Linked DNA regions of Notamacropus eugenii. The protein of the gene in region 2 interacts with the protein of the main gene of each other region in a pairwise test. Links are inferred from orthologs where the notes say so. Each region holds a gene or a part of one and is shown on either strand. Other genes may lie near its edges.

The links.
Region 1: the proteins of EXOSC5 (region 2) and DMRTB1 interact in a two-hybrid assay, tested with the Homo sapiens proteins (2 studies listed by BioGRID). The link is inferred for Notamacropus eugenii from reciprocal best matches to the Homo sapiens genes EXOSC5 and DMRTB1.
Region 3: the proteins of EXOSC5 (region 2) and PEG10 interact in binary tests that used the Homo sapiens proteins (3 or more experiments, as listed by UniProt). The link is inferred for Notamacropus eugenii from reciprocal best matches to the Homo sapiens genes EXOSC5 and PEG10.
Region 4: the proteins of EXOSC5 (region 2) and FCHO1 interact in binary tests that used the Homo sapiens proteins (3 or more experiments, as listed by UniProt). The two-hybrid records come from large-scale screens. The link is inferred for Notamacropus eugenii from reciprocal best matches to the Homo sapiens genes EXOSC5 and FCHO1.

The regions. Positions count from the first base shown.
Region 1 is NC_092873.1:513,649,237-513,656,781, reverse strand, and holds the start of DMRTB1 (doublesex- and mab-3-related transcription factor B1), read right to left. Parts: upstream 3,010-7,545; 5' UTR 2,901-3,009; coding exon 1,949-2,900; intron 230-1,948; coding exon 12-229; intron 1-11.
Region 2 is NC_092876.1:29,841,105-29,848,293, forward strand, and holds the start of EXOSC5 (exosome complex component RRP46), read left to right. Parts: upstream 1-4,165; 5' UTR 4,166-4,251; intron 4,252-4,751; coding exon of another isoform or gene 4,752-4,960; intron 4,961-4,962; coding exon of another isoform or gene 4,963-5,172; intron 5,173-5,174; coding exon of another isoform or gene 5,175-5,391; 5' UTR 5,392-5,447; coding exon 5,448-5,583; intron 5,584-6,552; coding exon 6,553-6,666; intron 6,667-7,189. UniProt on the Homo sapiens protein: Non-catalytic component of the RNA exosome complex which has 3'->5' exoribonuclease activity and participates in a multitude of cellular RNA processing and degradation events.
Region 3 is NC_092874.1:504,135-510,327, reverse strand, and holds PEG10 (retrotransposon-derived protein PEG10), read right to left. Parts: upstream 2,261-6,193; 5' UTR 1,834-2,260; coding exon 880-1,833; 3' UTR 510-879; downstream 1-509.
Region 4 is NC_092875.1:68,369,365-68,376,570, forward strand, and holds the start of FCHO1 (F-BAR domain only protein 1), read right to left. Parts: upstream 3,001-7,206; 5' UTR 2,894-3,000; intron 1-2,893. UniProt on the Homo sapiens protein: Functions in an early step of clathrin-mediated endocytosis. Has both a membrane binding/bending activity and the ability to recruit proteins essential to the formation of functional clathrin-coated pits.

The DNA.
Region 1 (7,545 bases), on a different chromosome or scaffold from region 2:
CCTCTACTCACCAGCAAAGAAGAAGAGGTCCCTGCTCCGTGGTTGCTGGAGACATGGCGGAAGCCCCTCTGGAGGGGTATCCCTGGGGCAGAAGCAGAACCCCGGTAGCTGCCCAGTGGGAATGGGCGGTAGTGGTACATGTTGGCATAACCAGGATACACTTTAGACTGCTCTCTCTCCAGATATTCAGGTCCCATCACGCACTCTGGGGCAATGTTGGAAGGGTGCCCTGGATAAAGACAAGAACAAGGGGAAAGACAAAAAACCCTAGTTACCTACAAATGTAGTGAAGCTCTAAGACACGGGTACTAACTATCCAAGGACAGTGTTCCTAGGGGAAATTCACTTGACACAGAGCCCAAAGTTCGTTTACAAAGCATTTTCCTCCCACTAGATCTTTGAGGCCAAAGCACCCATCACATCAGCCCCCATTTTACAGTCAAGGAAACAAGAGTCCCATCAAAGCCTGGCCCAGGGTAGCTGGGATGGGATTTGAACCCAGGCCTTCTGGTTCCAAGTCCTAGCTTTTCCAGAACATTAGGGGTTGAAATTCCCATGTATGAACTTAATAAACTGATGGCATCACAGACACTCTGGATGGTATTTAGCCTGGCGAATGGATACCCGTGTTACCTAGAGCACGAGGTCGTAGTGGAAAGGGCTTCGTGCGTATCAAAGGTCTGGTACGACTTAAGGCACTGAAGAAAAGCCCCCCTCCCCCACTACTGCGTGGGAATTGTATCAAGTTGAGCGTAGTAGACAGAGCCCGGGAGGGAGGGGGAGGGGAGAGAGGAGGGGGAGGGGGAGAGCAGGAGGAGAAAAGGAGGGGGAGGGGAGAGCAGGAGGAGAAAAGGAGGGAGAGGGGAGAGAAGAGGAGGGGGAGGGGAGAGCAGGAGGAGAAGAGGAGGGGGAGGGGGAAAGGAGGACAAAAGGAGGGGGAGGGGAAGAGGAGGGGGAGGGGGAGAGCAGGAGGAGAAAAGGAAGGGGAGGGGAGAGCAGGAGGAGAAAAGGAGGGGGAGGGGAGAGCAGGAGGAGAAAAGGAAGGGGCGAGGAGGAGAAAAGGAGGGGGAGGGGAGAGCAGGAGGAGAAAAGGAAGGGGCGAGGAGGAGAAAAGGAGGGGGAGGGGAGAGCAGGAGGAGAAGAGGCGGGGGAGGGGGAGAGGAGGACAAAGGGAGGGGGGGGGAGAGGAGGGGGAGGGGGAGAGCAGGAGGACAAAAGGAGGGGGAGGGGGAGAGGAGGACAAAAGGAGGGGGAGGGGGAGAGGAGGGGGAGAGCAGGAGGAGAAGAGGAGGGGGAGGGGGAGAGGAGGACAAAAGGAGGGGGAGGGGAGAGGAGAGGGAGAAGGGAGGGAGGGGAAGCAGCCTACCTACTACAGAGTGACCTCAGGCCTGTTTCCCAGCCTGTAAAACCAGGGGGGGCCGCTACGGTCCGGAACCTCCCCCCCCAATACCACGTTTCCAAAGCCCGGAACTGCACCGAGACACTCGCACTAAATAAACCTGCCGCCCCCCCACGCTTGGGTCCACAAAGCCGCTTTTCCGCCCCCCCCACCTCGGTTCCCCCAGCTTCATCAAGGGCAGGCTCGGTCGGGCGCCCCCCCCCCGGCCCCGCACTGCTCCCCAGGGGACGCCTCGGTCCCTGCCGTCCGGTTCGGGGGAGGGGAGGGCAGACGGCAGACAGCCATCTTTCTAACCCAATCCTCTTTTTAGAAATGGGGAAACTGAGGCCCAGAGTTTGAAGCGGCCGGCCGCAAGGCGGGGAAAGGAGCGTTTTCTGGGGGGATGGAGCGAGGGGGGCCCGGGCCGCTCCCGAGTCACCGCCGGCCCCCTCCCTAAGGCGCAGAAGCGGCCCGCACGGGGCGTCCCTCGCGGTCACTAGGCCTCGCTCCAGCCCCGGCCTCCCCTGCCCTCCGTCCCCAGGGTCCCGCGCTCCCGTCGGGGGTCCTTACCGAAGTCGCCGTAGGGAGGGCTGGCAGAGGCCGAGGTGGAGGCGCTGAGCGGCGGCGGCGGCGGCGGGGGGGGCGGCGGCGGGGCCGGCAGGGGCATGGGCATGGGCAGCGGCAGCGCCCGCCGGGGCCCGGGCTTGAAGCAGCCGTCGAAGCCCCGGGCGCTGCCCCCCGCGGCCACCTCGACCCCGGGGCCGCCCCCGCCGTTGCCCCCGGGGCCCCGCTCGAAGAGCCCCGAGGGCCCCGGCCGGGCGCTCCCGTAGGGGCCTGCGCGGCCGTCGGGGCCGGCGTCCCCGGGCCCGGGCCCGGGCATGGGCAGCGGCATGGGCAGCGGACGGGCGCAGGGCGCGGGCCCCGGGCCCCCGAGCGGCTCGGCGGGCGGCTCGTCGGGCTCGTCGCCGTCGTGCAGCTGCCTCTTGAGCACCTTCTGCGCCGCCATGATCTTCTGGCGCTCCGTGATCAGGTAGCACTTCTCGCAGCTGCACTGCTTCCAGCGGCACTTGCCCACGTGGCCCTTGACGGGCACCAGGAAGCCGTGGTTGCGGCAGCGCGAGCACTTCGGGGTGCGCAGCATCTTGTCGGCCGCCTCCTTGGGGGGCTCCGTCTTCATGGCCCCGTCGCCCGGGCTGGCGGGCGCAGACGGCGGCGGCGGCGGCGTGGAAGGAGGCGGTGCCGTCGGAGGCTCCTGGGACTGGGGCGGGGGCCCCGCGTGCCCCGAGTGGCTACACTTGTAGCAAGGCGGCGCCTCCGCAGACCACTTGCACAGCAGCCCCTTCTTCGGGTGCAGCGGCCCCTGCACCCCGGGAGCCCGCGCAGGGGAGCCCCGCGCCGCCTGCGTGCTCCTCGGGGCCGGGCAGCCCGGGCACGCGCAGGCTCCGGCCTCCTGCTCGGTCAGCGGGGGAAACTGAGGCCCGGCGCGCTCCGCCTCCGCCGCGTCCGGGCCGGAGGAGTGCATCGCGCTCACCTCCAGGCTGCGGGAGCTGGCTGCGGCATGGGGGACGTCCGGGTGGGGGAGGGGAGGGGAGGGGTGGAGCCCTCCTCCCTCTGCCAGTCTGGGCCGCGCATCCCCCTCCCCCACCCTCGGCCCAAGTTAGGAAACCTCTTCCGCCTGGGAGCTCTGGAAGGGCCCGTGAGGCGCGCACCCCAGGGGGCACGGCGGCTGGGCCCGGTGCAGAGGAGCGCGGGTGCAGGCCTCGAACCGCCCCGGCCCTCGCTAGGCTTGCCCCTCCCTGCTGTGTGGGACAGAGGCGTGGCACCAGACGGCCCCCAGGCCCTGCCCAGAGCAGCCCTGGGGCGTCCATCTTGGACCCAGAGAAGCCTTTCCGCCATCGTTACGCCACGAGCACTGAGTAGGCGCCTACGGTGTGCAGGCAGTACACATGCGTGTGTGCATGTACCTGTACGCACAGTCATACGCATGTATGTATAAATAATATGCATGAAAACATACATTTATAAAAATACGTGGCAGAGACGGAGTCGGTAAAGGAGATACAAAACTAAGATTTGCAAAGAGAGGAACGGGGCAGCTCAGGACTGGTTATCCTTTCTTAATTTTTATTATAATGTTTAGATTTAGGTTTATTTCCTCTTCTTTATTTGACTCTGTCCGTCCGTCCCTCCGTCTGTCCCTCCGTCCGTCCGTCCGTCCGTCAAGCCCGCCGAGCGCCCAGGCCTCTCAAGCGTCCGTCCATCCTCGAGCGTTATCCCCGAACATTAAAGGAATTCGAGGTCGAAATCCCTCAGCCCGGCCTGGTCCCGGCGGGAATCCCCAGGCTGAGGCCCGGCCTCGGAGCAGGGGGAGGGGCGGGGGAGGGGTGACGAGGACCCCTGCTGTTACTGGCGCTGACAGGGAGGGGGAGGGGGGCAGTGAGTGACGCTCGGGGTAGTGCTCCAGGAGGGGGGGGCCGGGGAGGGCGTCCGGCGAGAGGCAGCCCCAGGTCGGGCCCTGACCGGGCAGGGGTGTTGAGGGGGAGGCTCTAGGTCACCCCTGGCTGCCTAGCCGAGGGGACAGAGAGGATGGGCACCTTCAAGGGCAGACCCGGCCTCGCAGCATCCCTGAGCCAGGAGGGGGCCCAGAGTCTAGGCCAGCCCCTTTAGCACATCTCCCTTGGTCCTTCCCACGTGATAACAGCCCTCTGGCCTCTGGATTTCTGACTCTTTATCTACACTTTTTCCTTGTACTTCTCACCTTCTGCCTTGCATTACAAGTCCTTGGGTCCTTTATCTTATCCCATTCTTCTACCCCTTACACTGAGCAAGTCTTCCCACCTGCTGAATAAGTATTTCTTGAACTGGATTTTAATTCTTCTCATAGAAGGGTAAAATCAGAAGGTGACTTGGAAATTGGATTCCACCCTTCTTTCACAGATGAAAACTGAAGTGTGGGTAGTTTCATTTTTACCTTTGTAGCTCCAGCTTGTAGCACTCTCCACAAAGTAGCCTCTTGAATATGCTTGTTGACAGATTGATTGGCAAATTTCTCAAAACCTGAAAGTCGGTGCTGGTGGGGCTGCGAAGAAACAGGCATACTCTTTTGTTGCTGGCGGTATTGCAAACTCAGAACCTTTTCAGAATAAAACCTGGCAGTTTATAGGAAAGGTTACAAAAGTAATCATCCCCTTTGACCCAATTGTTTCTTTTTGAAAAATAAAAATAAGAGTCCCAAGATTTCCATGGCAGGACTGTGTGGCCACAAAACCAGAAAACTCCACCTGGAAGCAACCCAGACATGTGACAGTGAGGGAATGAGTGAATACATGGCGGTACCTTGGTGTAATGGGAAACTGTAAGTCAATTACATGTATGAGGATACAAGGAAATAGACAGAGAAACAGAAGAATGAAGTCCGCGTTAATTTCAGTCATCTAAGAGGGAAAGTGAATTAGTATGAATGGAGAAAGAACCCTGATAAAGATCTAGGGGGAGGGAAAGACGGACAAGTCATGATGTTTTACAGGCTGAATTTCACTTATTTAAGTTGCAAAACAAATTTAAGTTATTGCATGCATTGTTTAGGTTAAATATTAAGGGAGAGGAGCCAAACCTGAGATAATATGGATACAGGGAACTCCCAGGTAAGAAAACTCCCTCTACTCATGCAGGTCAGCATTTTCTCTGCAACTGAAGTGTTAGGAAGATGCGCGAATCCCTGAGCATTAAATGACTTGCCTAGGGTCTCACAGCCCCTTTGTGTCAGTCAGAATTTGAACCCAACATCTGAACACATCTTCCTGCTTCCAGTGCCACCTCTCTAACCACCATTTTAGTAAGTCATTTTTCCAAAATGTAAGGAAGAAGGAATTGGATGGTGAGAGAAGAAAGGATTTGCCTTCCCTCGCTACAAATTTCTCCCATGTTGACTCCATGGGTTTCAGGAAAATGTGTCATATGGCGGTGTGAATTTTCATTGCACTTGGAGAGTATTAATGAACAACTAATTAAAAGACTCCAAAATTTCAGGGTCTGAATGGGACTCTGAGCAAGTCACTTCATGCTGTTTGCCTCAGTTTCCTCATCTGTAAAATGAGCTAGAGAAGGAATGGCAAATCACTCCAGCGTCTTTGCCAAGAAAACCCCAAATGGGGTCACACCGAGTCAGACGTGACTGAAAAATGAGTGAGAAACAACAATAAAGTGTTTCACAACCAGCTTTCCCAGCAGCAGGATCTAGTTCTAATGAACCCAGCTCACCCAGTCTCTGACATTCTGAATACCCAACGCGACAGGCTTTGAAATGTCAGTCTACTCCTGTAGGAACCAATAGTGGAGTGGAAACCAGAGGACCTGGGCTTAATTCTATCTTGGGTGCCTTAGATGGGTCTTTTCTCTTTCTGGGCTTTAGTCTCCTTGTCTGGAAAATGAGAAGCCCAGACTAGATGCCCTCTAAGTCCTCCCTAGTGGGACCATTCACAGATATTTTGGAGAACTCTAGGAGGAGTTACTTCGTTTGTGATGGTCACCAGTTAAACCTGGTGTAGAGGTGAGAGCTCCAGAGTTGTGCTACCAGAAGACCTGAAATCAAATCCTGCCCTTGCTCCTTACTAGTTGAGTGACCATGGGCAAGTTCTTTAACCTCTTTTGAAGTCATCCTCTTCAACAAAACAAGTAAAATTGGGGATTCTTCATTTGGGCGTCCAAGATTGATTATTCAGTGTACTGTGTTTAAGCTGAGGGTCAGAGTGGACCAGACCTTGAGAGGTCTTTTTTCCAGCTTCAGAAAGAAAATATGTTACTCCTGAGTCTCTTCAGCTCAACATGTAGAAAAGCTTGTACCTTCATTGTGTCCCTATCCCTAGCTTACCACACCAGAGACTTTGGGAAATTTCCCCTTAGGTGAGATTATGCACTCTCTCTCTGTCTCTCTGTCTCTGTCTCTGTTTCTCTCTGTCTCTCTGTCTCTGTCTCTGTCTCTGTCTGTCTCTCTCTCTCTCTCCCCCCCTCATATCTTTGAACCTCTCTCCCCATGGGACAACTCTTTCATTCTGTGTATTATCTAGCGTACTCTCCTCTGCATAACATCTATAAGTTCTGCCTAATATTGGCTTTAATAGATGAGTTTATTTTCTATCTGCTATGTGTGCTCTCTGTGAAACTGGCATTTGGGAGGAAGGGAGATAAGCCTTGAAGTATAGATGTAGAGCTTGGATGCTTTTCCCCTATTGAAGGATAGGGATCAGAGCACAGCTTGAACCTAAACATTATTTCCCCTAGTATTTAGAGTTATAACTCTAGCCTAGTAACCCTTCTCTAAGGAGAGGAGAGTGGTCAGCCTTGTGGCCCCAATTTCCTATTCCCCTCCTGACAGGAATCAAAGTCTTCCTTAGGGAAGGGTGGGTGGAAAAGACCCCAGAGATATCTATTCACATCTCCCTGAAAGTCACACTAGACAGACTGATGTGGAAACACATAATCTAAATGGGCAACGCACACATGCCCTCCCCTCAGAACAGATGCCCCCTGAGGACAGGGACAGTTTTTCCTTTCTTAGCATCTTTTGCACTACAAGGAAATAAAATAAAGTCAATGAAATATTTCTAAAGTATTTCACAGAAGAGAGCAGCAGAAAGTTCAGAAGGATACAGAAAAGCAAGGCACTATTCAAATTATCATAGATTTGTTTTTTGGTTTTAAAACAAAAGTTTTATAGTTTTCATATTTTAATTTATATTATGTGTTTATAAATATATTTATTAAATGTTATATATAAATAATATATAAATATTGAAAACTATAGTTTTTATAGTTTTCAAGCAAAAGTCACCGTCTGTGACAGATTCAAGGTTTCCTGCTCTTTGTTTATGGAAATGAATGTTTGTTAATGTTCCACAAGTTCACAACAAAAAAAATAAAGTTTTGCAAAAAAAAAAATGCATTTTCTTGCAAGCTGTTTCTTCTTTCACGACATAACTAATATGGAAATAGATTTTATATCATTGCATGTGTAGCCTATATCAGATATGTATGACCTAAATTAACCCTATGATCAAAGTCTCCTTAGGTGAGATCGCGCTCTCTCCCTCTCTCTCTCTCTCCCTCTCTCTGTCTCTCTCTCTCTCTCTGTGTCTCTGTCTCTGTCTCTGTCTCTGTCTCTGTCTCTC
Region 2 (7,189 bases):
AAAGGAAGAAAGCTGGTCCCCTGCATCAAGGAGGCTGGAGAGCCCGCCTCAGAGCTAGGGAGATCCGCACGGACACCTTCTCCTCTCCTTGCCCAGTGGGGGCTGATCTTGAGGAGTCTTCTGGCTCCCTCCCTCCTGCTGCAGTCTGCACCCACTTTCTCTGGCTGCCTCTGCCCTACAGGTCCTGGATAGGCAGCACCTGGAGCACTGGGAAGGACCATGATAGGCTCATATGGTCTTCCTTCTTTCTGCCCAACTACCCTGGCTCCAGCTTTAGGCCCCAGCTCATGTGGGTAGAGGACATACCTGCCTCCCGATACTGCCCAAACACCAAGTCTGTGTCATCCAGGGCGGCTGCACTGCCCACGTGAGTGCCCTCCTCCCCATAGTTGGTCATGTAAAAGGAGATCCGGCCCTGCATGGAGGAAGGGGAAAAGAATAAAAGGAGGGCCCAAATAGAACATTGTCAGAGAAAGTGGGGAACCTCCCCATCCTTCTACACACAGCTTTCATTTTTCCCTCTCTGGCTGCACCAGCCCACCAGTCACTGCTCCTTTAAGCTCTGACTCTGAGCCAGACACTGTGCTGGGCCCCAGAGATCCAGAGGGTCGGACATTTTCTCTGGAATCCCCCATAGCCCCAGCACTGAGCAGTCACCTTTCCATAATGGGGGCTACTGTCTTAGCCACCCATTGTCAGCCTCCAGAAGAGGACCTCAGGCAGCCCGGGGTTTCTTGTCCCACTTGGGTCTCAGACTGACTCCTGTCCTTTTTTCCCCTTTAAGACATTCTCTCCTCTTCCCCTACCCTCTAAGGCAGGCTCCCAGAAGTCAGCTTTCTGAGTACCTGCATCTTGAGGCTACAGGCTTCAGTCTGCCCTGCCAGGGTCTCTTCCCCAAGCTCCAAGGGCTCCCATGACTCTTTTGACCCCAGGAATGGCCTTGGGGGGAGTGTGTCTAACTGTGGTTCCCCTTCCCAGAGGGCTGGACCCCACTTACCTGCCTCTGGGACTCATAAAGGATTCGGTCCATGGTGTTGAGAAGGGTCATACTTTTGTACAGCTTCAGGACCACCTCCGGAGGCAGCTGAGGACAGAGCAAGCGGAAGGGTGTGGTTGGTGGCAGAGGGCTTGGGGGAAAGGCTTAGGGGGCCATGAGACCCCTGCAAGGTCATCACCTGAGGGTCCTCGCTGGCATTGATGATCTGTCCTTGGCGATCCATAACCCGGTAAACGGGGATGCCAGAAATGACATTGGGTTTTATGAAGTCTAGCTTATCCACAAACTCAGCAGAGGCTCCAGGGAACTGGGGTTTTTCATCCAGGGATGAGAAATCTTCCTGCTGCCAATGGGCGGCCTGAGAAGAAGGGAGGACAAATGTGTCAGAAGGGTGGGGCCCCCACAAGCACCTCCCTCAAATATCAGCAAAAACCTCTTGTGCTTCTGCAAGGAGTGAGCTCTGTCAGGCATGCTGCTGAAGGGGCCTCCTCTCCACTGACACACTGGCCCAGTCACCCTCTGAGGTCCCTCCCAGGCTGCAGCCCTGCTCACATCTTGCCTCCCAAAAGAGGCAATACCCACTGGAGTTTCCTGCCCAGTTAGTTAGGGAGCTGGCAGCCATCCCTGGCAATGCCCTTTTGTGCGCCCAGCAGAACTGGTCACACAGGTGTGGCTCTATGGGGAAGAAGCCTGCCCTCAGGAAGCTTATTTGGGAGTTTGGCCTCCAGCCACCCAGGACAAGTAGAGACAAGGCCTAGAGGCCTTCAGAACTGATAGATCAGTTTTCCACAAAAGGCAGATGGGTGCCAGGGCATGGGTGTGTCCTGGCGGGAATACTAGATTTAGAGAGAAGCAGGCTTTAATCCTGGTTCTGCCAATTAACAGCTAGTGACCCTCCCAATAACCCCAGAGGGGAGGGGCTATAATCCCCATTCAACAGGTGAGGAAACGAGGCAGGCAGAAGCAAAGTAACATGTCTGGGATCATGAAGCTTGTGTGTGAGGCTGAATTACCAGGCCCAGGGCACCAACCACCGTACCACCAGCTGCCTCACTTCTCCCCAGGGGACTGTGGTCAATCCTTACAACTTCCTTGGACCTCTGTTTCCTTATTTATAAAGTTAAACAGGTGGAGTCCCAGGAGGTTTTTAAGAGTTTAGGGATGCAGTGGGTAGAATGCTGAGCCCAGATTCAGGAAGCCCTGAGTTCAAATCCAGCCTGATCTGTTTGCTAGCTGTATAACTTTAAGTCACTTACGTTGTCTGCCTCAGTTTCCTCAACTGTAAAGAGGGGATAATTATATTACTTCCCTACCAGGGTTGGTACAGGGAAGACCAAATGGGATTTAGCATACAGCAGACGCTTCATGAATTCTTATTTCCTTCCTTCTTGCTCTAAACAACAACCCTGGGAGGAAGATCCTATTATCACCACCAGTGGCCCAGCCGGTCTTCTAGCCTGCCTTCCAGCCTGCCCTCCTCTGCCCTTCTCTTTCACACCCCCATGCCTCGATGCCCTTAGGCAGAAACATTCTTTTATTACATGTGTAACTGCAGTGCTCAGCACATGGGAAATGCTTGATAATTTCCCAAATGGAAGGTGGTGAGGGTAGGCCCAGTCTGGCCCAGACAGACACTCCCTCAGAGACACAACTCTGGTCAACTGGCTCCTGCCCAGCCTTGCCCCTGCCAGGCACTTTACAATGGTCTTCCCTAAAGCTGCCTCCCAATGCATAGCCAGGGACCTTCTTCAGGCCCTCAAACACAGCAAACTCGTCCCCACTGGTTGGTTTTGTTGTTGGGTTCTGGTATCAGCAACACTGGCACCAGCACATGGCCCACCTAGTCTGGTCTCTGCCTTCAGAGTACATTTCCATCCATCACCTCAGTATATCCTCAGGCCTTTCCAATGCCAGGGCAGAGCTTGCACTGGATTCAAAGGGACAAATGGCATCTCTGTGTATGGCTTTAAAGTTTGTAAAACTCCTGACACATATCGTCTGATCTCATCTTTACAACAATCTATTTTATAAATGAGGAAACTGAGGCTCAGAATGAAGTGACTTGTTCACAACCAACTGAAGGTCAAAGGCTTCATGTTTTTGTGGTAACAGAGGGTATTCAAAGGATGAGAAAGAAGGTGCCTGTGCCAAGAGAAAGAGTTACCAGAGACAACTGGCCAGGACAATGGAAGACTGCAGATTGTGGGTGGCCTGAGAGCAGCCAGAGGCTCTAGGTGCTGACTGAGACCCTGGGGCTGGATGGGCACAGACAGAATGTCACCACTCCATCAGCTCCCCTCATCCTGCCCTGACAGTTACCGCCACTGCCCACAGGGACACATTCTATTCGTGTGTGTGTGTGTGTGTGTGTGTGTGTGTGTGTGTGAGCATCATGGGAAGGTCTCTTAAAGAGGTCTCTTTCCTCCCCAGTCCCAGTGAGTATGACTAGCCTCCCTTACCTGGACATAGATACTTGAGTGTGCACACTCACACCTCCCTAGCCAACCTCTAGTTCACACACACACAATCACTGGGAATCGGGGTAGAGACTGAAGCACAGTAAGGGCCCATGCCTAGCCCAGCCCCCACCCCATGGAAGCTCCTGGTCCCCCCACTTCTCGGTGATGCCTGTCCCATGAGCTGAGGGGATGAGGAAACTCCAGTTAAGATTCCTATACTGCTTTTAGGCTTACAAAGGACTATCTCATGTTTTTAAAATTCACTTTATCGATCTGCGGATCTTAAAAATGCAAGAAGGAGTTGATCTCAAAGGTCTCAAAGATAAAGGGACCTAAGGAAAAAAGTCCATAAATGACTCAGTCTCACAGATGGACTATCTTTGTACTGAGACTACCTTGGGTCAGGGGCTGAATCTTGTGGCTTTGGTCCCCTGGAAGGACTGGGCCAACTTCAGGAGGCTGACCCAAACCCAACAGACACTGTCAGCCCCATTCTCCCACCCCCCTCTGACTTACCCAGCCTCTGATCACTATAGACACAGCCTAAAGACCCCAAAGAAGCCCCTCTCCCCAACTCTGCCAGGGGTTTACCAGCCCAGGAGGCTCAGAAAGACTATGACCCGGCCAGCAAGGGGAGGAGGTAGCAGTGGACTCAGTCCCCGCCCCCATGATGCTGGTCGGGGGCCACCAAGCCCTCCCTCCCTTTCCAGCCCAGAAAGAGCCCCGCCACCAAGGAACCAGAAAGACCAGAACAGGAACAGCGCCTGGGGACAGACGGTTGGGAAACGAGACCAGGTGACCTTCCCCCGCCCAGGGGGCCCGGCCTCCCTCCCGCCCCCTGGCCCGGCCAATGAGCAGCAGGCACCTGGTCCCTGCCCAGCTCCCGCACAAACAAGTGGAGGCATCCCCACTGAGCTGGGAGCAGACCTTCTCGCTGCCAGGCTGACCCTGCCCTGGTCCTCCGGCAGTCCTGGGGCCCTCTGCCCCAGTCCTGCTTCCCAGGAGGGCCAGGGCTCCCCGGGGCCAGCCCCCTGCCCCTCCCCCGCACCACAGAAAGTCCGCAGGAGCCCCTTCATTCTACACTGGGCCCAGAGACAAGAGGTGTCCCGCCGAAGGTCACCCAGGTGGGGGGCAGGACTGCAGGGAGTTGGGGAATCCTCCCCAGCCTTTCGGGTCTCCCTGCTCCCCCCTCTCCTGGGGGGGTCTCCCCATCCCTCTCTCAGGGGCTCCCGAGGGGAGGGGTCTCTTTCTCTTTCCTGGCGCTCCCCTCGGGGTCCGGGGGCGGGAGCACTCACGGATCCCGCCAATCCGCGAGGGCCCCGCCGGGCCAAGGCCAGCCCCCCTCGCAGGGCCCAGGCTCGTGCCGCCGCCGCCGCCATCTTGACTGAAGCCGTTAACCGTCTCGCTCCGCGACCGCCACCCAGGTTCTCTCCGGGGCCGGCAAGTCCATCGCCTAAAAAGCTGTCCACGCCCACGGCCCCACGTGAGCCGGCCCCGCCTCCAAGCCACCCGGGACGGCCCGCGAGGGAGGCAGCCCCGGTCCGCCACTCCCCCTTAGCTCTGTCCCTCGCCTCAGAGGCCTCGGAGGCGGCGGCGCCTTCAGGCGGAAGTGCGGCCAGCCCTCTGAGCCCGGGTCCTGGTGCGCGCCCCGCCCCTTCACCTCCCCGGGGCTGGGATACGACCGCGGGCCATTTTGATTCCGCCTCCTCTCTCCAGCGACCTAATAGTTCCCTCTGGCCTAGGTCGGGGGCGGGGCTGAGGGAAAACGTGGAATCCAGCCTTTACAAACAAACTTCGCGCAAGCGCGTCGCGATTATGGCTCACGCGCCCTCTTCCGCCAGTCCAGAGGAGGTGGGGAGGGAGGTTGAAATAAGCCGAAACCACGTGCTCAAACAAACAAACTGCTTGCGCATGCTCCCCAAGACCTTCAGGCATGCGCCCTGGCCATCCCGGAAGTAGTTTTGTACTGGCCGGCCTTCACGTGGATTGAGATGGAGACGGAGTTCGCCCCTAGCGCCGGACCCGAAGCGGATCCAAGTTCGCGGGGTTCCGGCTGCAGCCTCCGGCATTTCGCCTGCGAACAGAACCTGCTCTCCCGACCCGATGGCTCCGCCTCTTTCCTGCAGGGTAAGGTGCCATCCTTCCGAACCTTTGCTTCCGGGTAAATACCCGTTTCCGGCTAAATACTCGGGCCCACCGTGAGGGATGGGGGGGGGCCACCATTCCTCAGTAAATTATAAGCACTTTTCCTCCTTCTGGAGGCGAATGCACTTTCAGCACAAGAGAGGGGCAGGTACCCCATTTACTCCCCGCACGTGGGTCAGTAGGTGCCCGTATAAATAGCGATCTCCAACGGGCCGGGGCGGGATCAGGGCTGTTGGTAAAATGCGCCCTTTGGGGGCCTCCCGTTGTCCTCCTTGTCCGGGGCCTGCCCACTTCGGGGTGCACGGGACAAGCTCCCGGACCAGTGAGGCCCCGCCCCCCGCCCCGCGCAGCCTCGTGTTGTGGCCTCGGGCTTCGCTCGGAGAGGCCTGGCGGGGCGGGTCTCCAGCCTCCGTCCCCACCCCCGAGGCCTCCCCTGCTGGCTGGAGGTAAGGAAACCCGCAGGGAGTGGGGAGCCGCGGGCTTCAGTGGAAAAGGCCCGAGTTCTCATCCCGCCTCTGACACGGACTGGCCGGTGGAACGAACCCCTTCCGGTCTTAGTTTCTTTATCTGTCAGGTGGGGGTCATAATAACATTTATGTAACGGGGTTGTTGTCAGGAGCCAACGGGAAACTTGGGAAGTGCACGTCAGCCCTCCGTAGCTCTTATCTTGTCCTTCCCAACTCTCTTCTCGCCCCCATTTGGGTTTTTCCTGGAAGAGATACTGGGGTGGTTGGCCACTTCCTTCCCCATGTCCTCATTTTACAGATGAGGAAACTGAGGCAGCCTTGCCCAGGGTAAGTGTCTGAGGCCAGGTTGAACTCAGGAAGATGAGTCTTGACTTCAGGTGGTGTCACCGGAAGCCTTAGCTGTCATCAAGGGCGTCTCATATAGAGGGAGGTGGGGGTGCTCCCGGAGCCAATGCCTCTTCCTCCTCTGCACCCCTCTCTGCAGGTGACACCTCGGTCCTCGTTGGAGTCTATGGTCCGGCAGAGGTCAAAGTCAGTAAGGAGATCTTCAACAAAGCCACCCTGGAGGTGATTCTGAAGCCCAAAATAGGGCTGCCTGGTGAGCAGGGAAGGGGGTGGGACGCCTCCCCCATCGCCAGAAGCAGACTGAGGGAGCAGCTGATGTTACAGGGATGTTGTCCGGGGCTGCTTGTGTGGTAGCCTAGAGCCGGGGGCAGAGAAGAGATCACCTGCTGGTGATCAGGGGATGGTGAAAACAGACTGGAGCATGGATCCAGCATGGTGAGAAATAGGAAGAGTTCAGAAGCCTGGGAAGACTTCCAGGAACTGATGCAAAGACCAGGCAGGCAGAGCTGGGAACAGGATAGGCCGCAGTGAAACGGGAAGGAACCGAAAGGTGCTCTGTAATCCTCTTCTGTAAACACTGCCCAGCTGTGACTTCCTAGAGAAGAGGTGTGCCTTCCTCCTGTGTTTGTAAAGATGAAGGAAAGAAAGCTTTTATTTTGTAAAATTTCTATTTTTTCCATGTAAAGATAATTTTCAGCATTCACTTTTGTAAGATCTTGAGTTCCAAATTTTTTTCTCCCTCCCTTCCCTCCGCCTTTCCCCAAGATGGCGAGCAG
Region 3 (6,193 bases), on a different chromosome or scaffold from region 2:
GTTTTCCATTCATTTCCCTTCCCAACATTGACCAGGTGGTGTACCCTGCTGGGGACCTGGTCCTGTAGATGGGGGCTGCTTGGAGCTGGTACAATACGTAAGGAGTTGAAGGTGGTGGATACTGGTTCCAGACGGCAATGGCATTTGGGTTTTGAGAATCATTGCAAAGATATAGCTCTCCCACTTTCTTCATGATGACAACTGGGGCCCCCAATGGGGAGGCCGGCTGGACACAAACCCATTTCACATTCTTGGCCAGGAAGTCTCGGACAGCCATCAGTTCTGGGTCCGACACTGCGTAGGGGTAGCCGGTGGGGGCTACAGTGTAACTGTACGGTGCGTGGTATGGGATGGCTTCCTGGGCCATCGGCACAAGAACTTCCTGAACGTCCATTCCTCCAGGGACCAGGCTCGGTGCCATCAGCAGAGCAGCCCGACAGTTGTGCTGGCAATACTCTGAGTCAAAAACGATGGTGCGGGAACTCCACATGATGGAGGGGTTGTGCTGGGTGAGCCACCGCACCCCCAGAACCACAGGGAAGAAGGGGGACTGGGTCACATCGAAGGAGAGTCTCTCACGGTGTTCCCCAATGTCTACCACCAGCTCCTGGGTTTCCTGGGTCACTGGGCCAGAGGCCAAGGGCCGTCCGTCAATTGCTTCCACCAGCACCGGCCAATACTTAATCTTTACTGGGATTCCAGTCTGTGCAACGTAATCTTGGTCAATAAAATTGCCGGAGGCACCGGAGTCAATCATGGCGCGGACGGTACAGTAGGAGCCGTCCGGGAGATGTAACGTGATCAGTAGTTGCAAGTGAGAAGATGACGCGTCATCTGGGGGGGACCTTTCTGGTTCAGGCCCGGGCGCTGGGGGTCCCTCTACAGCGGGGCCAGGGAGTTTCCCACCCCAGAAGACTTTGGCTTCTTGGATGGACAGTTGTCCACGTAATGGCCGGCCAGTCCGCAGTACATGCACAGGTTCAGTCTTCGGCGACGTTCCCTCTCTTCTGGGGTCAACTGAGGCCGAGTGACCAGCTGGTTTGATTCCGACTCGACTGGAGGGGACGAGGCGCTCTGGGGCTGAGGAGAGCTGGCAGGAGATGCCCCTCTCCGGGAATTCAGCCTTCCCTCAATGCGCAGACACTGGTTGATGAGTGCGGGAAGCGATCGGGCCACCTCCACGCGAGCGAGCTCATCTTGGATGGGATCACTGAGGCCCTCCAGGAACTGGTCGATGAAGGCCGGCTCATTCCAGTCCAGGTCCTGGGCACAGAGGCGGAAAGCACTGGCGTAGTCTAGGACGGAGCCGAGGCCTTGGCGGAGACGCCGGATCTTGCGGTTGGCGGCCTCTTTGCGCTGGGGGTCCTCGAAGGCCTGCTTGAACTCATCGATGAAGGCCTCATAGTTGTTCAGCAGAGGACTGGACTCCAGTAGGTAGGGGGTGGCCCAGCGGGCCGCGCGCCCCTTGAGCAAGCTGGTGAGGAAGCACACGCGGACGTGCTCTGTGGGAAAGTCTTCAGGCCTCAGCTCCATGTACAGGCGGCTCTGGGCCAAAAAGCTGGGAAGCATCTCGGGGGTCCCATCGAACTTCTCAGGGAGGCCGACGGGGCACTTACCACGAGGGGCAGAGAGGCCCATGGCCCCTACCGGGGTGGCCTGGAGCTGTCCCCGGAGGTTGGCATTCTCCTCTGACAGCTGGAGGAGCTGGGTCTGCAGGGAGCTGTTCTCCTCGGTCTGCTGGAGGAGCTGGGCCCGCAGGGCCTGGACCTCAGCTGTGAGGTCCTCCATCCTGCAGCGGCGGGCCGAAGCACCGGAACCAGTGCTGGTTGGCATATTCAAAGATCCTGGGAATCAGTGTAAGCACGGTCAAAGATGCCCCGGGGGTGGGGCTCAATCACTCTGGCTAGACCAGAATGGGTAGAGACAGTAGGCAAGGGACAGTGGAGCTTGGCCAGAGAGCCCCAAAGAGAGACCCAACAGACCAAGGAAGAGTCCTACTGTTTTAGAGTCCACCACCAATGAGAAGAAAGGGCGACGAGGCCAAGAGTCAGTTGGTCAGCTGAGGCTCCAGTGAAAGTCCCCTGGCAGCCCCTGAGGGCTCCATGCCATACCTGGCCAGTTCAGATAGGAAGTGATCTGAACCAGTACCTCTGAACGGTTGAATCACATTATCTAGCTGGCAGAGTGTGGTTGGTCTGGGCACAGGCTGTTGTCCTTCTGCAGAGGTGCTGACCTCCTCCTCCGGGAGCCCTCCCCCCCACCCCAGGGTGGGGGGTCTGGTTTGACGTGACTCCCAGATCCGGCTGCTCCCTCGCACTCAGCACTTGTAGGTTCTACTGTCTGCTGAAGGAAGTCCAAAGTCACTGGTGCCTGTGAATAAGGAAGACAGAGAATGTCAGCTGAGCTAGAGGCATGGAGGAGACATGGAGAGGAGCAAGTCTGTGGCACATGCCAGCATCAGATCACAGAAGCAAAAGACAGAAAGTATTCAGAGACTCTGATCAAATGACTCTAGAGGGAGAAGACTCGAAGGAGGTGGGGAGGGGCTGGGAGGCTACTGGAGGGCAGTGTTGTGAGGGGGCTCCATTGGGAGAAGACTGAGACTGGGTCATAAAGATGGGAAGGGGGCTTGAAGGCAGAAGCCTAGAGCATTGTAGGTAGGCTGATGGGATCATTGGAAAAGGAAAAGGGAAGGGGGGGTTGAGGTTAGGTTGTGGGAGGGGGAGAGGAGGTGGTATTCATATAGGACACCTGTAGGTTGTGAGGAGGGGGTCCTGAGATTAGAAGAGTTTAGTGATGAGGGGAGGATATTGGAGGGCTGGATTATAAAGGGATGGGGAGGGGAGTGGCATTGAGAGGGGGCTAGACTCCAAACAGAAAGGGGTGGACTTTGAGTCTGCAGGATTACAGTAATGGGGGGGGGCCTGGGAGTGGCAAAATATTGAGAGAAGGGGGAGGTGATGCTACTTGGGGGAGCTAAAATCTTAAAAATGAGGAGAGTGTTTGAGGATAAAAAACTATTTAAATGAGGGTAGGTTTGGGGGGTGGGCTAGATTAAAAAAATGAGTAGAGTTTGAGATCAGAAGCCTGTAATAATAAAATCAATCAAATCAAATCAAATCAATACAAAAATAAAAAACAGGGGGTCTGCATTATAAAGAGAAGGGGAGGGGGCTTGAGATCAGCAGACTCATTGAGGGGGGTATAAGGAAGGGAGAGATAAAAAGAAATGGGGAGGGGGTTTGAGGCAAGAGGGCAACAGTATTAGGGACAGGTTGTAGGAGGGGGGAGGTGTTGATGTGGGAGGCCTGCAGTAATGAAGGAGGCTGTGAGGGGCTAAAAGACCCCCAAATGGGGAGGGGGCTTGTGGTAATGAGGGGAGGATGTGGGGGGGTTTGCTAAGATGTTAAGAGATGGGGGTAGGGTTTGCAAACCCTACCCTAGGGAAGCAGTAGGGGCTGTTTGTGGCTGGAAGGCCCCAGCAATGGGGGCATATTCCCAGGAGTGGAGCCTGAAGAGCTGCAGTGGGCTCTGAGATTGGAGGAATGTGGCAATGCAGGTAGCTGGTGGGAGGTGGGGGCTCTGTTACAAAGGGATGGGAAGGAGATTCAACAAAGAAGCCTGTAGTGATGGGGGTAGGTTGTGGGGGCAGATAAGGGGGAGGGGGGGGGGGCTAAGGTTATAAGACTTTAGGAACAGGAGGAGCATCAGGGGCCTAGATATCAAATAGACTGGGAGGGGTTAAGCCTAAACTTTAATGTGCTGGGGAGGGGATTGGCTTCTACAGGACCATAGTAATGAGGGAAGGTGGTGGGAGGGGTGGGGGCGCTCGGGGAGGTGATGCTAGACATGTATCGTAAGAAGAGTAGGTTGGGGGGTAGGGCTCAAAATTTAAAAATGGGGAGGGGGTGTGATATTGGATGACTAGTAATGAGGGAGGGCTGCATTATAAAGAGATGGGGAGGGTTGGCAGCTAGGAGACTGTAGCAATGAGGGTAGGAGTCAGAAGACATGGGGAGGGGTCTGAGATCAGAGGATTGAAGTAATTAGGGTGGGTTGTGGGGGGGGCAGACAATAAATACGGAGGGGCATATGAGGATAGAGTGTGCATGTGGGGGGGGCTAGACAATATATAGGGAGGGGCACATGAGGAAAGAAGGTAGGTTGTGGGGGGCTAGATAATAAAAATGGAGGGAGGGGCACATGAGGAGAGAGGGTAGGGTGGGAGGGGCTAGATAATAAAAATGGAGGGAGGGGCACATGAGGAGAGAGGGTAGGGTGGGGGGGGCTAGATAATATATAGGGAGGGGCACATGAGGAGAGAGGGTAGGTTGTGGGGGGGTAGATAATATATAGGGAGGGGCACATGAGGAGAGAGGGTAGGTTGTGGGGGGGCTAGATAATACATAGGGAGGGGCACATGAGGAAAGAGGGTAGGTTGTGGGGGGGCTAGATAATACACAGGGAGGGTCACATGAGGAGAGAGGGTAGGTTGTGGGGGCTAGATAATATACAGGGAGGGGCACATGAGGAGAGAGGGTAGGTTGTGGGGGGGCTAGATAATATATAGGGAGGGGCACATGAGGAGAAAGGGTAGGTTGTGGGGGGCTAGATAATATACAGTGAGGGGCACATGAGGAGAGAGGGTAGGTTGTGGGGGGGTTAGATAATACATAGGGAGGGGCACATGAGGAGAGAGGGTAGGTTGTGGGGGGGCTAGATAATATATAGGGAGGGGCACATGAGGAGAGAGGGTAGGTTGTGGGGGGCTAGATAATATATAGGGAGGGGCACATGAGGAGAGAGGGTAGGTTGTGGGGGGGTTAGATAATACATAGGGAGGGGCACATGAGGAGAGAGGGTAGGTTGTAGGGGGGCTAGATAATATATAGGGAGGGGCACATGAGGAGAGAGGGTAGGTTGTGGGGGGCTAGATAATATACAGGGAGGGGCACATGAGGAGAGAGGGTAGGTTGTGGGGGGGTTAGATAATACATAGGGAGGGGCACATGAGGAGAGAGGGTAGGTTGTGGGGGGGGCTAGATAATATATAGGGAGGTGCACATGAAAATAGAGGATAGGTTGTGGGGGGACTAGATAATACACAGGGAAGGGCACATAAGGAAAGAGGGTAGGTTGTGGGGGGGCTAGATAATATATAGGGAGGGGCACATGAGGAGAGAGGGTAGGTTGTGGGGGGCTAGATAATATACAGGGAAGGGCACATGAGGAGAGAGGGTAGGTTGTGGGGGGGTTAGATAATACATAGGGAGGGGCACATAAGGAAAGAGGGTAGGTTGTGGGGGGCCAGATAATAAAAATGGAGGGAGGGGCACATGAGGAGAGAGTGTAGGTTGTGGGGGGGCTAGATAATATATAGGGAGGGGCACATGAGGATGGAGGATAGGTTGTGGGGGGACTAGATAATACACAGGGAGGGGCACATAAGGAAAGAGGGTAGGTTGTGGGGGGCTAGATAATAAAAATGGAGGGAGGGGCACATGAGGAGAGAGGGTAGGTTGTGGGGGGCTAGATAAAAATGGAGGGAGGGGCACATGAGGAGAGAGTGTAGGTTGTGGGGGGGCTAGATAATATATAGGGAGGGGCACATGAGGATGGAGGATAGGTTGTGGGGGGACTAGATAATACACAGGGAGGGGCACATAAGGAAAGAGGGTAGGTTGTGGGGGGCTAGATAATAAAAATGGAGGGAGGGGCACATGAGGAGAGAGGGTAGGTTGTCGGGGGGCACAGGAGAATAGAAGGTAGGTTGTGGGGGGGCTAGATAATAGATGGGGGGCACATGAGGATAGAGGGTAGATTGTGGGGGGGCTAGATAATATAGAGGGAGGGGCATATGAGGATAGAGGGTAGCTTGTGGAAGGGCTAGATAATAGATTGGGGGGCACAGAAGGATTAGAGGGTAGATTGTAGGGGGGGGCTAGATTTTTTAAATGGGGAGGGAGATTGAGATTCAAGGCCTGTAGTAATGAAAGCAAGATATAGGGGAGGGGACTAGAATATAAAAAGAAGGGGAGGGGGCTTGAGGCCAGAAGATTCATTGAGGGTAGGTAGAAAGGGATAATATGGCAAAGGGGAGGGGGTTTGAGGAACAGGTTGTGGGAGGGGGGAGGTGTTGATGTGGGAGGCCTGCAGTAATGAAGGAGGCTGTGAGGAGGGGCTAAAATGCCCC
Region 4 (7,206 bases), on a different chromosome or scaffold from region 2:
GAACCCCAAGGGCACAAGCCTCAGCCTCCCAAGACTGGTGATTGTCCCTTCCGCACTTGTCCTGAATTCGGATCAGGGCTCTACAGAAGGAGTTCACTGCAAGGGAGTATTATCAAAAAAAAGGGGGAAACTTCAAGTAATAAACTGTTTGGGGTTCCAATGGGTGGTGAATAATTGTACTTCCCTTCCCCTAGAAGAGAATATGCCTCTTCCTGAGGCAGTCCCAGGAAGAGATGGGTCAGAACAGACCTCCAAGATTCTGGAAAAGTCACAACTGCCCAGTATTTCCCTCGCTAGCCACTCCGATTATGTTTGCAAGATTCCATGTTTGCAAGGTTGAGGTCCCCAGAACCGAACCAGAAACGGCACAAGCTTCTTCCACTGCCCTAAACAATGACCCAGAGCCAGGTAGTCTGGGATTTGTCTGGCCGCACCATTCCCAGGGATAATGATGCTCGAGGTCAGGTGGGAGGGAGGCAGGAGCTATCCAGCTTTGCCGGATCGGGAAAACAGCCATACTTTAGAGGGGGGAGGTGCATGCCAACCACACCCAGAGGCCAAACCTGCTCCCAGGCTTGGGTGCATAGCCTCCTCAAGGCATAGACCTGGTATGTGGGTCAGGAAACACCCTATGGGGGTGAGGATGTCGGCCAGCAAGTTCCCCCTCCCACAACCCAGGTGGGGTTAGGTGAGGGCTGGAATCTCTCTTGCCTCATCTGCCAGTCAGAGAATGTAAGGGTCCTTAAAATGTCACAACTGGACTGGGATGTTAGAACATGGAATATCAGAGTGGAGACAAAATGTCAGAGGTGGGAGGGCCTTAGAATTTGGAATGTCAGAGCTGAGAGAGGTCTTTAGAATATGGAATATCAGAGCTGAGAGGGCCTTAGAATATGGAATGTCAAAGCTGAGAGAGGCCTTAGAATATGGAATATAAGAGCTGAGAAGGACCTTGGAACAAAGAAGAGACTTTAGAATACAGGATGTCAGAGCTAGGAGGGTTCTAGCCCTCATTTTACAGAGACTGACAGCTCACATTTTTCTTGTATTTTAAGGTTTATAAAATACTATTCTCAAAACAACTTTAAAGTGTCGGTAGCTGAAATATATGTATGTATATGTTTGTATGTATGTGTGCGTGTATATCATAGTCTTATGAGACTTAGGACTCACAGATCATTTGCCCAACACCTCCATTTTAAAAAAGGAAAGAGACCCAAAGAAATGACTTCTCCAAAGCCACACTGACTGTGAGTGAGACAATCACCTCCATTTGCTAGAGATGGTCAGGCTCAGGCCCATCTTCCTGAATTCAAATCTGGCCTCAGACACTTACTAGACCCTGGACAAGTCACTTAACCCCATTTGCCTCAGTTTCTTCATCTGTAAAATGAACTAAAGAAGGAAATGGCTAAATTGCTCAAGTATCTTTACCAAGAAAACTCCAAAATGGGGTCACGGAGAGGCAGATACGATAGAATAACAAGCCCATGCCCAGGGAGGGGAAGCATTTGTCCAAGGTCACACAGCTCTTAGTATATATCTGTGCTAGATTTCGTCTAGTAGTCTTTAACATAATGACTTTTATAAGTATTGACCTCACAGTAATATATTATTAGTGCAAGGACTATGAGCCCTATTTTACAGACATGGAATTAAGGCTCAGAGAGGGGAAATAAACACATCAGAAGGGGACTTGAGACTAGAACCCATGTCTCCGGAGCTCTTGGCCCTGAGCTTGGAGGTGGAGGTGGCCATGGAGAAGAAACACTATGGCTGTTGAACCTGTCAGGGCTGAGGCCCCAGATGCCCTCCGAGTAAGACTGGGTGATTCTCAGAAGACAGAGGTAACAAACCCAACTTCTGTCTATCCCAAGGGGATAGATGCTAAATGGGGGTGGTGTAGAGCACGCCACAAATCCTAAACCCTAATCAGCCAAGCTATTCTCTCACCCCGATCACCCCCCAAGCTTGGGCTCAAGCCAGATGCTCACTACCAGGTCTGCCCTGGGAGAAAGGCAGGTTCTTGGGAGGATCTGCTGCACGAGAGCGTGCACGCGCGCGCGCACACACACACACACACACACACACACACACACACACACACACCCATGGCATCTTCCTCCTCCTCCTCCTCCTCGTCCTCCTCCTCTCCCCCAGAGCTGCTGGGTACAGCTGCCAAGTCGGTGAACAGAATAAGATCTGATTTTTATTTTAATCCCTGGATCAGATGCTCCGCTGAAGCTGACACACAGCGGACACGGACCCCGCGCCAGCCTGCCAATCCCTCGGCCCCAGCAGGGATGCCCCCAGCCTCAAGGGCAGTAGCAGCCCAGTCTCAGGCCTGGGGGGGCTGACCCTCGCACCCCCGGGCCAAAGCCGGGCCTCCGCACTGCCCAGGTTCCGCTCCCTAACACGCCGCCCTGGGGGCTCGCGCAGGCCCCGCTGTCTCCTTGAGCAGGAGGGCAGACGGCTGACGGCCCCTTTGCCCATCGGTCTGGCAGCCTCCCGGGCGGGGATCTGGGTGGGCGCGAGGGGGATAGGTACCGGAGGGTGGGGTCGGCCCTCCTCAGGGAGAAGGGCGGCGATGGCCGCTCCCGGGCAGGGACGAGAAGCTATTGTTGGGGGGATGGAGAGAAGGGGCTTCAGGAGGGGGATGGAGAGAAGGGGCGACGCTCCTGCTGGCAGGGTCGGGCCGGCGGGCACAACGGCGGGGCCGGGGATGGCAGGTCACGGCTGGGGAGGGGGCGCCGCTGCAGGAGCGGGGTACGGGGGGCGGGGTGCGGAGCCGGGACACCGGGACCGGCGGGGCGCGAGCCGTGCAGGAGAGGAGGTCGCAGCGAGAGAAGGCACCCGGGCGCCCTCCAGACCCGCGGAGTCAGCGGCCACTCACCTCCCTGAGGCCCTCGCAGCGTCCTCCTCCAGCCGGCGCAGCCACCTGCGGCTCGGGGCCCGCCGACGCCGACACTGACACCCGAGCGCGCCGGGCATCGGAGCCCCGCCCCTCTCTGGCCCCGCCCACAGGCGGGCGGAGCCCACGCAGCCTCCCCCTCCACCCCTTCGCGCGGAGCCGAGGACCCAGCTCGGGAGGGGGCGGAGCTGCCCGACACTCCCCCGCGATTGGTACGTTTTGAGCGTCGGCTCTCGTAGCTTCATCTTCCGATTGGCTGAGCTCAAGAAGGCGGTCTGTCTCCCTTGGAGACACTGGAAACGATTTGCATACCTTAAAGAGATCGCTCTTTCAAAAAAATGATGCCCAAGGGCCAGCCCCTTCCCCAAAATTTGAGATTGTGAGAATTACGGCTGCGGCTGGGAAAGCGAATAACCATCCCTCCCGCTCCGGATCCCGAAGCAGAGGTCCAGGGGTATTCTCCATCTCCCCAAGACACTTTTTCAGGGCCATTTCCCCACAAGCAGCTCTTCCACAATGGGAGGTCTGCCTCCTACGGCAGTGAGCAGCCCCTCCCTGGAGGTGTAAAAATGGAGGCTGGATGACCTCCTCAAGGATGCTGAGAACAGGGAACTTGGGGTGGGAGGGGGCTAGGATGCCTCGGAAACTCTGGGCACCATCATCCATCCGCAGGGAAGACAGCAGAAAAACCCTGGACCAGAGCCTCTGCCTTCGACTGTGCCATCCCTTACCTCCTCTGGACCTCAGCTTCCCCATTTTCAAAAAGTCTGGTCTCGGCCATGTCAGGTTTTGTCTTGAGGGCCCTCCTATATACAAAGGCAGTGAGAGTGACCCCCAACCTTGTACGGGTGAGATCACCTTTTTACTTCAAAGAAAGCCATCTAGGTAGCACAATGCTTGACTGGGAGTCGAGATTCCCAGTTCAAATCCAGCCAAAGATCCTTATTAGCTGTGTGACCCTGGGCAAATCACTAGCCTGTCTGCCTAAGCTTCTTCATCGTTGTAAAATGGAAATGGCACATGCATCTCCAGGTTGTGAGGATGATAACGTCATGAAGCAGTTGTGTTGAAAATGTATCTTGTTCTGGTACCCCCAGCCACCCATCTAGTTACTATAGTAAGTTTTTAAGTAGCTAGCAATAGATTGCAAATGGGGGAACCAATGGTCTCATAAATTAGGAGTGCATGGGAGCCGCTGGGAACTGCCTCATAAATTGACTAAGGCTACTTTCTGAGAATGTGAAACGTAGGGGAAGCCAGCTAGGCCTGAATGCAATGGCCCCTGGGTCCAGCTAACTGCCCCTGGTCTGGAAGCTTCAGATAAGCTGGGGTCAAAACAAGCAAAACGCTCAGCTAACGAATTAAGCTGAAGGTGTTGCTGATTACTTTGAGACAATGTGGGTGTTAATAAACTACACCAAAATTGCACGGATATGAGTTAGTCCACCCCTTCCCCAACCCTAGAAAATGGGACCCCAATCTCCAGCCCCCTAGCACTCCTTCCACCTACTACAGGTCCATCCCGCCCGAGTCCCCACAACTCCAATCCAAGGTTACACAAGGGCCCCTCTCCCTCCCCAGGGCTCTTTCCCACCAGTCTACCTCCCTCCACAACTACACTTTATCACTTGCCTCACTACTCTCCATGTCTTGAAGCATTATTCTCCACCTGCTGCCATCATGGTCTTTCCTGGCAAGTATCCACAAAACTGGGCATGCCTGCTCTCCCCAACCCTCTCCAAGGGACCCCCTGGGGGCCCCATTCCTTTACTCATAAATTGGAAACATCAAGACTACGGTTTTATGCTACTTACAGCCACACCTAGAATCTACCATGAACAAGCATGGCGGAAAGCAAGGGTGGGCACCTGGATCTTGTGCCCCTTAGATTCTCCCTTATCTGGGGCACAATCAATCAATTAATATTTCCACAAATTAATAAAGTTATGCTATATAAACACTAATATTTTTAAAATATCAAAGTATAATTGAACTACTAGCAACTGTTGATTGAGAAAATATGACTAGATATAGACTTGCCCTGGAATAGTGTCAAGGTGCAAATATTGGGAAATACTTCATTTTTTTCTCAGCTCTGACACCCTTGTGTTCTAAGTTCCCTCCCAGTTTTGGCATTCTGGGATCTAAAAGCCTGGCAGGGGAACTCATGCAGCATCTTTTCAAGTCCATACCATGAACCACATCACTTGCCCCAATTTTCTTGAGAAGTACTCATGTGACTTTTGCTGAAGGCTAGCCTCCCTTTGCCTCATCTGCGGCTGCCCACCCATAGCTCCTGGTTTGGCCCTGGTGTGAAACAGGGTAAGTTGATGCCCTCTTGCCCATCTTGGCAGCCTTGCAAACACCTTCCTCCCTACATCTTTTCCAAACGAAAACTCCCCACACCCTCCAGTCGACACTCTGGTTACCCTCCTCTGGATTCTTTCCAATTTATCAATGCCTGCTCTAAAATATGAGATCTAGAATACTCTAGTGCAGATGTAGTCCAGCCAGGGCAGACTTTCCAACTCCAGGATTCTATGGATTCCATTTTTCTATGAGCTTATGGTTTCTTTCAATTTATAGACAAGGAAACTGAGGCCCAGAAAGCTGAAGAGATTTACCCAAATGGCAGACTCAGGATTTGAATCCAATTCTCTTCCAACTCTAAACCTCTCCTTCCTCTCCTCTAGGCCACTGCCTGAAGGTTCGCTCCCAGGATTGCCGAGGGCATCAGAACAGACAAACTTCAAACCCCAGTACCTTCTCCACGTCCTGCCCCACCTCCCAGACTCCTGGACCCAACCCAGGCTAGTTTATTTTTAGCTGGGAGCCCCAGATAGGATGGTGACCAGGCAGCTGTCAGGATTCCTGAGCAGTCCAGAACATCCTCTTCCCCTGCTTCCCCCAGGACCAGGAAGAGGCCCACCTAGGGTCCCAGAGCTACTGAAACAAAGTGACAGAGGCACAAAAATACAGGGGGCGAGGGAGAGGAACAAAGTGATCAGGGGCCATGATCAATACCTTCTTCATACCAAAGGATCTAGGGAGCAGGCATGGTTGGTGGGGTCCCAAAAGGCAGAATTAGAGTCAATGGGGAGTGAGGCAATTGGGATAGTTCTTTTTAGACATGGGGAAACTGAAGCCCAAAGATGGGTAGGGACTTGCCAAAGATCACAGAGCAACTGGAAACACAGCCAAACCTGGAATGTGAGTTTCCTGATTCCCTATTTTTCCACTACACCAAGATGAAGCCAAGAAACTCAGGTCTTAAGTCCTGGCCTGGCCCCTCTCCTGTCTCATGACTTTGGCTAAGTCTCTTTCCTCTCTCTATGCCTCAGTTTCCCCACCTGTAAAATGGGGAGAAAGACCCACTCTGCTTTGAGGACACAGATTGTGGCAGCAGGCCCAGTTTTTTTCAGGTTGTCATAGCAACACCTCCAATTCTCCTCCATCACCAACCTGGCATCTGGTGGGGTTGTTTCTGCCCCATGAGTTCCCGCTCCCTCCATCCCTCCACATAACCTAACAGTACTTTGGGGCCCTGAGCTCCCTGGAAGGAAGCTCCCCAGAGTGGGCCCAGGGCACACTGCTAGAATCCAGCTCAGCACACAGCTGGTCCTTCACCCAAAGAAACCACCGTACTCTTGAGGGAGGACGGGGAGTCTGGTGGGCAGCTGCCTGGCCTTGGATCAGATGACCTGCATTCAAATGCTGCCCATTGCCTAGATGGCCGTGGGTAACAGGACCTCAGCTCCTCATAAATGAGAATGACATCACCCCTCCTCACCTGGGGCTGCTGGGAGGCAGAAACATAAAGTCAGTACAGTATTTGGCAAACCTTGGGGAGGAAAGCTTTACATAGGCGTGGCTATTAGTAGTAGTATCTTATCAATAATGGTAATAGTCATCATCACTGCCTCTCTCAGCCTGTTTCCTCTTCCAGAAAGGGAGGGGGTTGGTTTAGATGACATTAAGGTGCCTCCCAGCTGGAAATCTAGAAGCCTGTGATCAAATACCAGTTCTGCCACGGCTCTCTGTGACCTTGGGTAAGTCACAACTTCTGTGGAGGTTAAGTGACTGAACTCCTGTCTTCTCTTCTCCAAAACAAGGAGGCTGCACTGCACCATTTCAATGTCCCCCCCCAGATCCAAATCCTGTGATCTTGAGGCCAGAGGGGAAAGTGGGGGCATGTGAGTTTGGTAACGGGTGAGGGAGAGAGGACAAGGAAGGAGAATGGAAGATGGTGAAGTTGGGGTGGGGGGAAGAAACTCAAGAGATGAAAAAGCCACCTG